2 linked regions of the Arabidopsis thaliana genome follow. The protein of the gene in region 1 interacts with the protein of each later gene in a pairwise test. Each region holds a gene or a part of one and is shown on either strand. Other genes may lie near its edges.

Region 1 (4,514 bases):
ACTTCTGGAAACAGCCCACGAACCCAGGAAACTGGAAAGAGGAGCATGTATGTATCAATCATGTGTTTGTGACACTGTGTTTTTGTTAATGAAAGCTGTGATTTTTTGTTGAATTGATTCCTTCTGTTACCTGACCAATCTGCAGTTTGTGCTTATTTCTCTGTCTGGCTGGGGCTTACTTTTCTACAGTGGATACAAGCTCGCCACTGGGGGAAAAAAAGAGGTACTTACTCTTGCTCTTCAGCTCTTGCTCTTCTTCCATTGCCTAGAGGCTTCGGGTTCCTTCCCTTATACATAGTTTTTTTTGCAGACGCCTGTGGAGAGTACACAATGAGTTTCATTGTCACCAGGAAGACCTTTTATGGAGAGACCTCTCATTCTCATGCACTTTGTTTTCCCTTTTAGCAGATTGTGACTGGTCTTGTGTTTCATTTTGAAAATAATTTGCATCACTTTTGAGATCTGATGATGTCTGCAATGGATAAATTCTTGACAGTTTTGTGTTTCATAATATCCTATGTTTGAAACAGACAGGATTTAAGCAAATCATTGTCTCACTACGTATGTTGATATATGCTTTCGAGCTATTTCCTTCCATTCTATTTGTCTGGTTTGGATACCAATTTTTGTTGGAGGTATTTCTCCATGTATGTCGTCCACCTTCCAAGTACATATTGGCTAATCCAAATGTTTGTAGCTGCTCTTGTCTCATGCTTTTATTCTTGACATAGTTTATTCAGCATACTATTACAGTCACTGCTTGCTTCTTGTTATCGATCTCCTGCCTTGTGTGTATTTGCCGAGGTTATATGGTTGAATTTAGATTAGATTCATGTCCTCGTAGTGGTGCTAAGTTAGTTTTCCAAGCCCCAAGTCGGTTTTTTTTCCAGTATGTGATCCCTACTTGGTCTCTCCACTCGCATAACAGGTGTAACAAGCTACTGATTAAAGAAAATGCAGAGCATACATTACAAGTTTTTGCAGAAGAATTAAATAAGTTAGAGAAATGAAGTCAAATGGGTTTGGCATTGGTGGTGAAATCGAGGCAAGTCTGGCAGTTACAATCAGAGAAACGGCAGAGCTTGCAGCCGAAGCAGACGCAAGAAGTGCAGCCTTTGCAGGACGGTGAGCGAGTGCAACCTCTGAACACTTTCCTGCTCCCTCTTTCTTCCTCCTCCTCGCATGTTATCTTGTCGTATGGGTAATCGCAACACTTCCAATTAGGCTCAGCAATTGCATCATGGTGCATCCGGCATTCCCCTCTGCTCCTCAATCTGAACCTCCTCTCCTTCCCGCATGTGCTGCACCCAACAAACTCATCCCGATGAATGACTTTCGATACGTTAGAGTTCTTCAATGCTTTGTTGTAGTATCTGAGCAACACTGTCTTTGAAAGCGGAACCTTGTCTCCTTCAATGAACACCCAAACATTGTTCCTCCAGTTTCTAGAGGTTTCTCTCTCAGAATGCTTCTCGAAGGCAGCAGGCGTCAACTTGTCTACCATCATAGAATGAAAGCTGTCAATCAGATCACTTTGAAAGAAACTCGAACTTGTGATATAAAATGGAGATACATTACAATGTAAGGTTATCCCACACTCTAAAAGACTGCATGAAACATATCACATCTAGCAAATACAAGCAGCCTCATAGTTCACCGAGGCCAAAGAACAGTTACATTGCATTCTTGACACTATCATGAATCCATACACATTCACATGGAACATGCATATAGAAAGATGTGAGAGAGAAGAAGAGGAACCTTCGAGACAAGCAGGAGTGCATTGGCAGGTGATTTGAAGTTCTCCATCTGAAAATATCTTAAGCCTCGCAACGGCGTCTCCGTAACGGTGGCTGGTGCAGCCACACATGACCTCGACGTAATCGTCTCCCACATGGACTCCACTTATTTCTTGTAGCTCCTCTTTGCTGAACAACTCCTTCGACCCACATTCTCTCTCCATCTCCGATCGGGACCAAGTAAACCACGACGAAGGGCTCCTTCTCCTTCCTATGAAGTATTATTATATAGGATCAGAGCCCTAAACACCAAGGGACAAGAAGGTAATTTGACATGAGTAAACGAGAAAAAGCCCTAAAGGAGCTAGCATCAGTAGTAACGAAGGATCTGACAATTATATAGAAAAATCTCAAAGGTAAAAGGCTTTTGGAGTAAAACAAAAAGAGAGAGAGACTTTGGTGTTTTTCTAGGTTTTAGGGGATTTGAAAGAAACTCTCTATAGAGACAGAGAGATGATGGATGCAAATTAGGTGGCCAAAGAAAAATACAAGTCGTGAGGCATGGGAATTGTGAATCTTTTAATTTTTAGAATAATATTTTATAATATTATCTACGTTAACGTTCATACATAGATGTGTTCTTGTAATTGTCCATATATGGTTGGTTGATGATAAAAGAGAAGAGATTAAGTAAAGTTGTTCTCTAAACCCACATGTAATTACCTCTTCTCTTCTTTCTTTTCTCTCTTTTACTTGTGACTTTTGAGCTCTACAGGTTTCATGGGTCTACCATTTATGTACACAAATAATGCTTTTTTTCTTAAGAGTTAGGTGTATGATAGTCGCATCTGGTCCTTATTCTCCATTGCGGCCCAACTCCAATGTGCCCATACATATGTATGTACATGTATACACATATACAAGGACACACCTAACCTTTAATTGTCTACGTCAATGTGTGTAGGCATGTCATAAATTACATTTTTTTTGTCTAAATGTAACGTATACTCCTTCCGTTTCAAATTAGTTGTCGTTTAGAAGTTAAATTGTGTTTCAAATTAGTTCTCGTTTTGATGTTTTTGACGAATTTTTTAATTTATTCTTGTTCTTTTAACCTATTGATTGATTATATCAAATAAAACAACACAATAATTAGTGATAAAACAGAAAAAGATAAATGTTCTTTTAACCTCCTTCCCCTTGTTGCAAACCCAAAAAAATGACCAAGAAGAACTCAAGTCAATAACGAGCCGCACCAAACTCCACCTCATCCACGTTGTTTTTAGAGACTTTTGACCCTCGAATTTCACCTACGACCAAATTAATAGAAAACCAGTTGTCTTTTCACTTTAACAAATCATATAGACCACAACCTCCATATATATAAATTTGAAGGACAAAGATTGTTAATTACCACATGGTCACGATGCTACCAATAGTTCACTATACATTAGTTAATGACTTGCATGCATTGCCATATAGATATATGCAAAACAAGGCAAAATGCTAAGAAAACAACAGCTTTAAGAACCACGGCAAAAGACGAGGCTACACAAAACAAATCTCTCACAGTTGTTGAGGAAAAACACCAATGATGAGATCTGATGTTTTGGCCTCTCAATGAACGTACCATCATTTTATCATTTCACTTTTTATTTAATCTTTGCTAATTTCAATTGTCACTCATGGCAATGTATATCACATCTAAACACAAAATGAAGATAAATGATCGATGTCGGTAATAATACGTTCTAAGAATGACAACATCATACTGTTTTTACTTTTTTTACTTTGAAATTTATGAATTGTTGAGCAAGTCCATATATCTTTCAACGATCTGGTCAGGTGTATAGTCCGTATAATACCCTTTTCCCACAAGCAGACCTTCCTCTCTGCCAAGCCTCTCGATCAGTCCCTGTACTTCATCTCCCCCCACTTGGCTTGGATTCAACAAGTTACAGGCAACCTCTATGACTCCTTCCCCGTGCACCAGCGCCATTGTCTGCACTGAAGCCAAGCCCCCTCCTCTCTCGCTCGTCTTCCTCGCTATTCTCCTCACTGCCTTGAGATCGTTTGACATGACAGGCACGTTATAGTTACTTACCCACCCACACGCCCCAACCGCTACAACCCCTTTGGCTTTGCTCACCTCTTGTGGCCCTGCGTCTGGCTTCAGTGGCACCATCTCCAGGTCAAACCCACCTGCCCATTCATGTCCCTCCCTGTTTGCCTTGAAGTACCCCAGCTTTCTTCTGATCGAATCCAGGGTGCACTGCTCCTTTTCTGCTGCTCCATAGAGATATGTAGGAACTGCACCAAGGTGGGTCATATATCTCAGTCCAGTCCACATATCAATATAGAGATTGCTACAAAGACTTCCAAGTTCTATGGCCTAGACGAAGATGAGATTTTAAACACAGGGCATCACTTTGCCTATTACAACGTACACAACAACTACACCATACAAGCAATACTCTGTTCTTATCTTGATAAGAGCAGAGAGCAGATCATTGCTACAAAGACTTCCATATTCTATGGCCTAGAGATAATGAGATAGTAAAAACAGAACATCACTCTGCCTATCACAAAGTACAGCAGACAAACAATGCTCTGTTCTTATCTTGATAACAGCAGAGAGCAGAGCATTGCTACAAACTTCATGTTCTATGGCTAGTCATTTTTATAAGAGCAGAGCATTGCTCATAGACTTCCATGTTCAATGGCTTATCACAAAGTACACATCAACAGCAGCATAGCAACAATGTTCTGCTCTTA
Region 2 (5,502 bases), on another chromosome or scaffold:
AGGGTAAAGAGAACAACATCAATGCCATGAACGTTTCACCAGGACGTGAGAGGCTTGAGATTGGAGAACTGATGCAGCGTAGAAAGGAGAAACGTAAGAGCAGAAGAAAACGAAAAGAAACTAAGTTGAGACAGAACATCGAGAAGGAGAATTGGGTCCAAAGTAATGGTTGTTGGTCCAAAGAAGAAGATTTAGTAAATTGTGAAGTGAGATCAACAAAAGAAGAAGAAGAGTGTGGAAGCTGCGATGATTCGAGCCCTGTCTCGGTTCTTGATTATGACCGGTATGCTGGTGTTCGAGTAACTCCATCACCAGGTTGGTAATTCTTCAGTATTGAAAATTGAAATGTCCTTTCTTGTGTTATTAAAGCATACTTGTTTCCTTGTAACAGGAAACATTTCAAGAAGACGGTTGTCTTCAGAACTTGAATCTAGTAAGCTCAATGAAACGATTGAACAAGATCACATCACATTGACAAGTAGATCAAAAGACCAAGAAATCCGACTTCATGGCTACCAAGAGATGTGGCTCATGATCTGCAAACTCACTGTATCTGACCTTGAAGGTTCAGATTGGTTTAACGGAAAAGCTTTAAAGCTCGAAGATATAGAAGGAATCATAAGCGAAGATATAGTCTCAAACATCTTAGATCAACTCTTAGAAGAAACAATTACAACACTTTCCCTAACTTCACAAGTGTAAATACATTTCTGTATTCCAATTATATTATTACTAAAAAACATATATATTCAGCGTGAGAGTGTTACCAAGAAAAAAAAAAATCGATTACTCATTGTGAATAGTAAAGAATCAAGGAAGTGAGGTGAGGTAATTCAAGGTTTCTTAGGTTTTGAAACCTTTTTTCACCTCTGTTTTTCTTTGGAGACAGAGAGAGAGACAAACGAACTCTCTTTTGTCCCCTAAGAATTTTTTCTTTTTATTCTAAAGAAAAATAACAAAGCATTAAACAAATAAAATGAAATAGATTAGCATCGACCTCTCGGAATCTTTCTGACTTTGCTTCTTGTGGAACGGTTAATGAAAGTTCAAAACTTTTGATTCAAGCCACGGTCTGTTCTGTCTCCATGTATGATTGCTCCATCCAAACCGGAGCTAGTCTTGTCTCCTGTGGCTCTTTCACCAGCGGCTCCACCCATGAGACATCTGGCTCTTCGAGCCCAGTCCCTTCGTTAGGCAGTCTTGATTCCATGCCACCGGCTCTGAGACGGAAAGAAGTGGATTTTCTGAGCTTCTGTAGCTCGTCTCCTTGGACGCTCCAGTCAAGCTTCCCATCCAATGAGCCCCAATCGTTTAAACAAGTTGTAGTCATGGAAGAGATTGCGGGATGGTGATTCAGTCCGTTGTTGCGTTCTATGAAGCTTTGGCTTCGCTGTTTAGCAAATTCAGCCGCTCTTGAAGCCAAGACTGCGGAGGAATCCATCGAAAACAGAGAATTGGCTCCCACAGGTGATGAAGAAAGACTGTTGGAATGCAGCTGCGGGTTAATGACGCTGCGTCGGATCTGCAAACCCGATGTATTATCCTCTGTCCCAAACATATCACTGAGACTATTCACCGGGCTCATTGCTCCTCCTGCAAGCCTGTTCATGCCCTTTCCGGAGAATGGAGATGACATTGGCGTGTTGTTCCATGTAGTTGGAGAAGTAAGACTTTGCATCTCTTCAGAGAAATCGATTTCTCTTGCATTCAATGCAGATTTCAATCTGCTCCCTGGAAGCTGCAATGCAGGAGGGGTTATGTTAGGCCAGTTCATCCACGTTTTTCCTCCACCTATTGGAGAGGATACACCGTTAGGACTCAAAGGAGGTGTGGTTGTTGCTCCGATAGGAAGCGGACTAATCGGTCCCATGTCGAAAGCGGTCGAGGAATTGCAAGATGAGAAGGAAGACCGCGGGGACGGAACACCTGATCCAGTTGAAGGGTACAAAGGACGCAGCTCCTCGGGTTTGTGGGCAAAGAAACAAACTCTTCTCGAGCAATTCGTCTCGTCCTTGCAGAGACGAGTCCGGTACTGAGCCGGGTGAAGCCAGCACTCAAAGATACCATGAGCATACTCGCAAGTATCACCTCTGGAACAAGACCCCTTCCGGAATTCAGGACAAGGGACACAACTATAATGGTACTTCCTCGGATCACGCCTCCTTGCGTTCTCACCCGGATGAACAAAGGGACATTCCGTCCAGTCGTGAGAGTATGCTCTAGAGCACGGCTTGATCTTGAAAGCATACATCCGGAACTCATCCGTCCCATATACACCGTTCTTGATATCAGGAAGCGTTGGATCAACCGGATACTCCTTCCTCTCAGACCCCCGAGGAGGCGAAACCTCAACCTCAACCTCAACCTCTGGCTCGCTTTCTTCTTGCCCATTAACTTCATTCAAATCATCATTTCCTTTCAACAAACGCTCCAAAACCTTCATCCTCGCGCTAAAAACCGGACTCAAACAAGGGAAAATCACATCTCCAGGCTTGTTACCATAAGCATCACAAGAATCCGGATTCGCAGAGCCCTTCAGCAGAAGAGTAACAATCTCAAGGCTATTGGCAGACAAGCCAGAGACCGCACAGTGAAGAGCCGTGGCACCATCAGAGCCACAAGAGCGGTTCACGTCAACAAGACCAGTACTAATGATGTAATCAACAACCTCTTTGCTTCCAAACAAGGCAGCAATCATAAGAGGCGTCCTCTCCTCAAAACCCATCTTCTTTGATCCTAATCTCCTCCCATACCACAAACCAGAGCCATCAATGCTCTCAAGACCTTCTTCTTCAACTAGAGACTTAAAACCGGACAAATCATTGCAGGCTGATGATTCTAGCAGAAGAGAGAATTTGAGGTGAGACAGCTCATCAACTCCCATGGCAAAAAAAAGCAACAATCTTTTCCCGCTCTATTGATTTCACTGCAAAAAAAATTGCAGAACAAATTGAAAAGGATGAATCTTTTTTCTTCTGATTAAAATGGTAATATACATAGAACAAAATCATACAAAACAGAAATAAAAACTGCAGAAACGATTAAGCTAAGGAGAGAAGGAAGAGTTTGTTAGTTTGGGATACAAAGTTTCCAACTTTAAAACAAACCAAACCAAAAATAAACACCAACAGATCCATAATTAACCACTTTTGCAACATCGAAAACTAATCATATTGTTAACTCATTTTCCAATCAGCAAAACAATTAAAAACAAACTGCAAACTCTAAAACAAATCGACATATATGGATTCAACTGAAACTAAATTAGTGACTAATCAAATCAAAGAAACAAAGAGTAAAGATTTTCTACCTCTGAGTCACAGAGACAAACTCTCTCTTTTCTCGACCACCACTACCAAAAAACCGCTCTTCACTTCCTTTAAACGAGTACTCAATTAGTCAATTTATTGAAAAAACAAATCCGAATTTTTTTTCTTCTTCCTCAAATTATGTTTTTTTTCTTCTTCTTCCTCTCCTTGTCACTTTCTTCTTAAGGTCAAAATAATAGAAGTTTTTAAAAAAATGAAGAAGCTTACTCTAAATAATAAAACAAAACCACCATCTCCATCATTCTTCTTCTACTTCTCTCTCGTCTTTTTTATTTCTATTTATTTATTTTACTTTCAATTTTAATTTGTAAAGTCTGAAGGAAATGAAGGTGTACGTTAGACTTCACACAGAGGATCTTCGCTCATCGGTTTTGTCACGCTTCACGCGTTTTTCCGGTTTTTGGTGGGATGACGTGGAAACCATGCATCGTCAGCATGTTTTTAAAATGAGCTACTTACTTTTCTTCTCCATTCACGAGCTAAAGATAAAACCACTGCCTGTTACCTAGAGTTATATAACCAATTAACCATAGCTTTTTAATTGGTTTGTCACCGCCCCAGAATAATCTCAACATGCACCAAAACACAGAATCGGAACCGTCTCGAGTGGGTTTCGCTTGATAGCAACTCTCTTTTGTCATAGCTTTGATTTGAGTTATATTCATCAAAATTAATTATCATAAAGTTTAAAGATAATTGAGATAATTATTATAAAGTCGAGAAATTGACGTTTATGTTCAGTTTTTTTCGGTCGACAATTCCAACAAAAAGACGATTAGGTAATACAAATATCCTAAGAGACTAAAATAATGTGTATTTAAATTCGGTAATGGAAAGAATTCGAACAAACCTTACCAAACTTTGTATTTTCTGTCGCTATGCTTGTATTATTATATTAAAAGATAGTGATTCGTGATCCATGACAATGTTGTACTACTATATAAAAGTAGTCATAAATTGCAAATGTATAATAATATTTTTTTGAAAACGACTACTGTTTTGTATTGCAACCAGACCAAATCCAAATGCATGCAACCGAACCCATCAATGCTTTTTGCAGCGGCATTAACGAAGCTGCTCCACTGGCTCTCTCTCACATCATAACACAAAGCCATTTATTTTCTCTTCTTCTAATTTACAGTTCTAATAAATAAGTAAAGTCATAATATTAATATGATAGTGCAAATACTGTATATATACACGACAAATTATTAATTTTTAGATAATTATATCCTGTTTCTTAACATAAACACTGTTGATTCCCAATGTCAAATCAATATTTAAAAATTTGTTATAAGTCAGTCACTCAAAAGACAATGGTATGAAAAATGCTGAAAACAGACGGTCAAGATCTTGTATTCACGATGAGATATATTGTTAGGTTAATTTTGATATAAAGCGAAATAAAAAGGGAAAAAAGGTAGAAAAGTCTAAGTGTACAATTAGGAAAAGGACCCACAAGAATCCATAATCTGACTAGAATGAATGGAATAAGAAGCATGTGGGACCAACTGAAAGCGACTAAGCATTGCTATTTGCTATTTTATCAGCCGACGTCGCTGCGACAAAACCCCAAATGGCAGAGCCTTATTGGACAGACCATATTGACTTTTATGGTCCTAAATGCAGTGAATTATCTCTCTTCGACTTGGCGCCAAGCACTTCTGGGCCAGAAATACCGATGCGGGGCTATACGAGGATAATGATCTGTTTCAAAGCCCATAATTAAAGACCTAGGTTTGGCCCATTAGTCTATCTTCTTGATTTAAAAGAAGGAAGCCAATTTCTTCTTCATGGACGTAAATAAAAAGAACTGGTAACTAATGAGATAGTATCTTACTATCTTCACAAGTAAAAGTCATATGGTGAATCCGAAGAAAGAATGTCGTATTCATGAGCTATATCTGAGAAGAGTGAAAAACAGAGTCAAAGTCAAAGAGTGATGAGCAAGCTTTAATAGTACGAAAGTAGAAGAAATAAAGAAATAAGAGGGTGAAATGGGTAAATTTTGGATTTTTAATTAGGAAATAGTGCAAATTGACCAAAATTAAAAATCTCCACTCTTTTCGCGTGTATCAACCAAAAAACAACATCAATGTCCTTTAGTTTTAATTAATCTCGCTGTTTAATTGGGATTAGACTAAAAAAGTTGCAGAGACTAGTACAGCGTTAC

The links.
Region 2: the proteins of ULT2 (region 1) and AT5G58620 interact in a two-hybrid assay, tested with the Arabidopsis thaliana proteins (one large-scale study listed by BioGRID).

Annotation. Positions count from the first base shown.
Region 1 is NC_003071.7:8,964,833-8,969,346, forward strand, and holds ULT2 (Developmental regulator, ULTRAPETALA), read right to left. Parts: upstream 2,412-4,514; 5' UTR 1,964-2,411; coding exon 1,762-1,963; intron 1,498-1,761; coding exon 1,013-1,497; 3' UTR 724-1,012; downstream 1-723. Other genes in the region: AT2G20820 (uncharacterized protein), read left to right, coding at 1-47, 190-223, 311-405; AT2G20830 (folic acid binding / transferase), read right to left, coding at 3,538-4,049. UniProt on the Arabidopsis thaliana protein: Putative transcription factor that acts as a key negative regulator of cell accumulation in shoot and floral meristems. Negatively regulates the size of the WUSCHEL (WUS)-expressing organizing center in inflorescence meristems.
Region 2 is NC_003076.8:23,691,341-23,696,842, reverse strand, and holds AT5G58620 (zinc finger (CCCH-type) family protein), read right to left. Parts: upstream 3,585-5,502; 5' UTR 3,311-3,584; intron 2,927-3,310; 5' UTR 2,885-2,926; coding exon 1,061-2,884; 3' UTR 703-1,060; downstream 1-702. Other genes in the region: TRM31 (uncharacterized protein), read left to right, coding at 1-315, 392-702.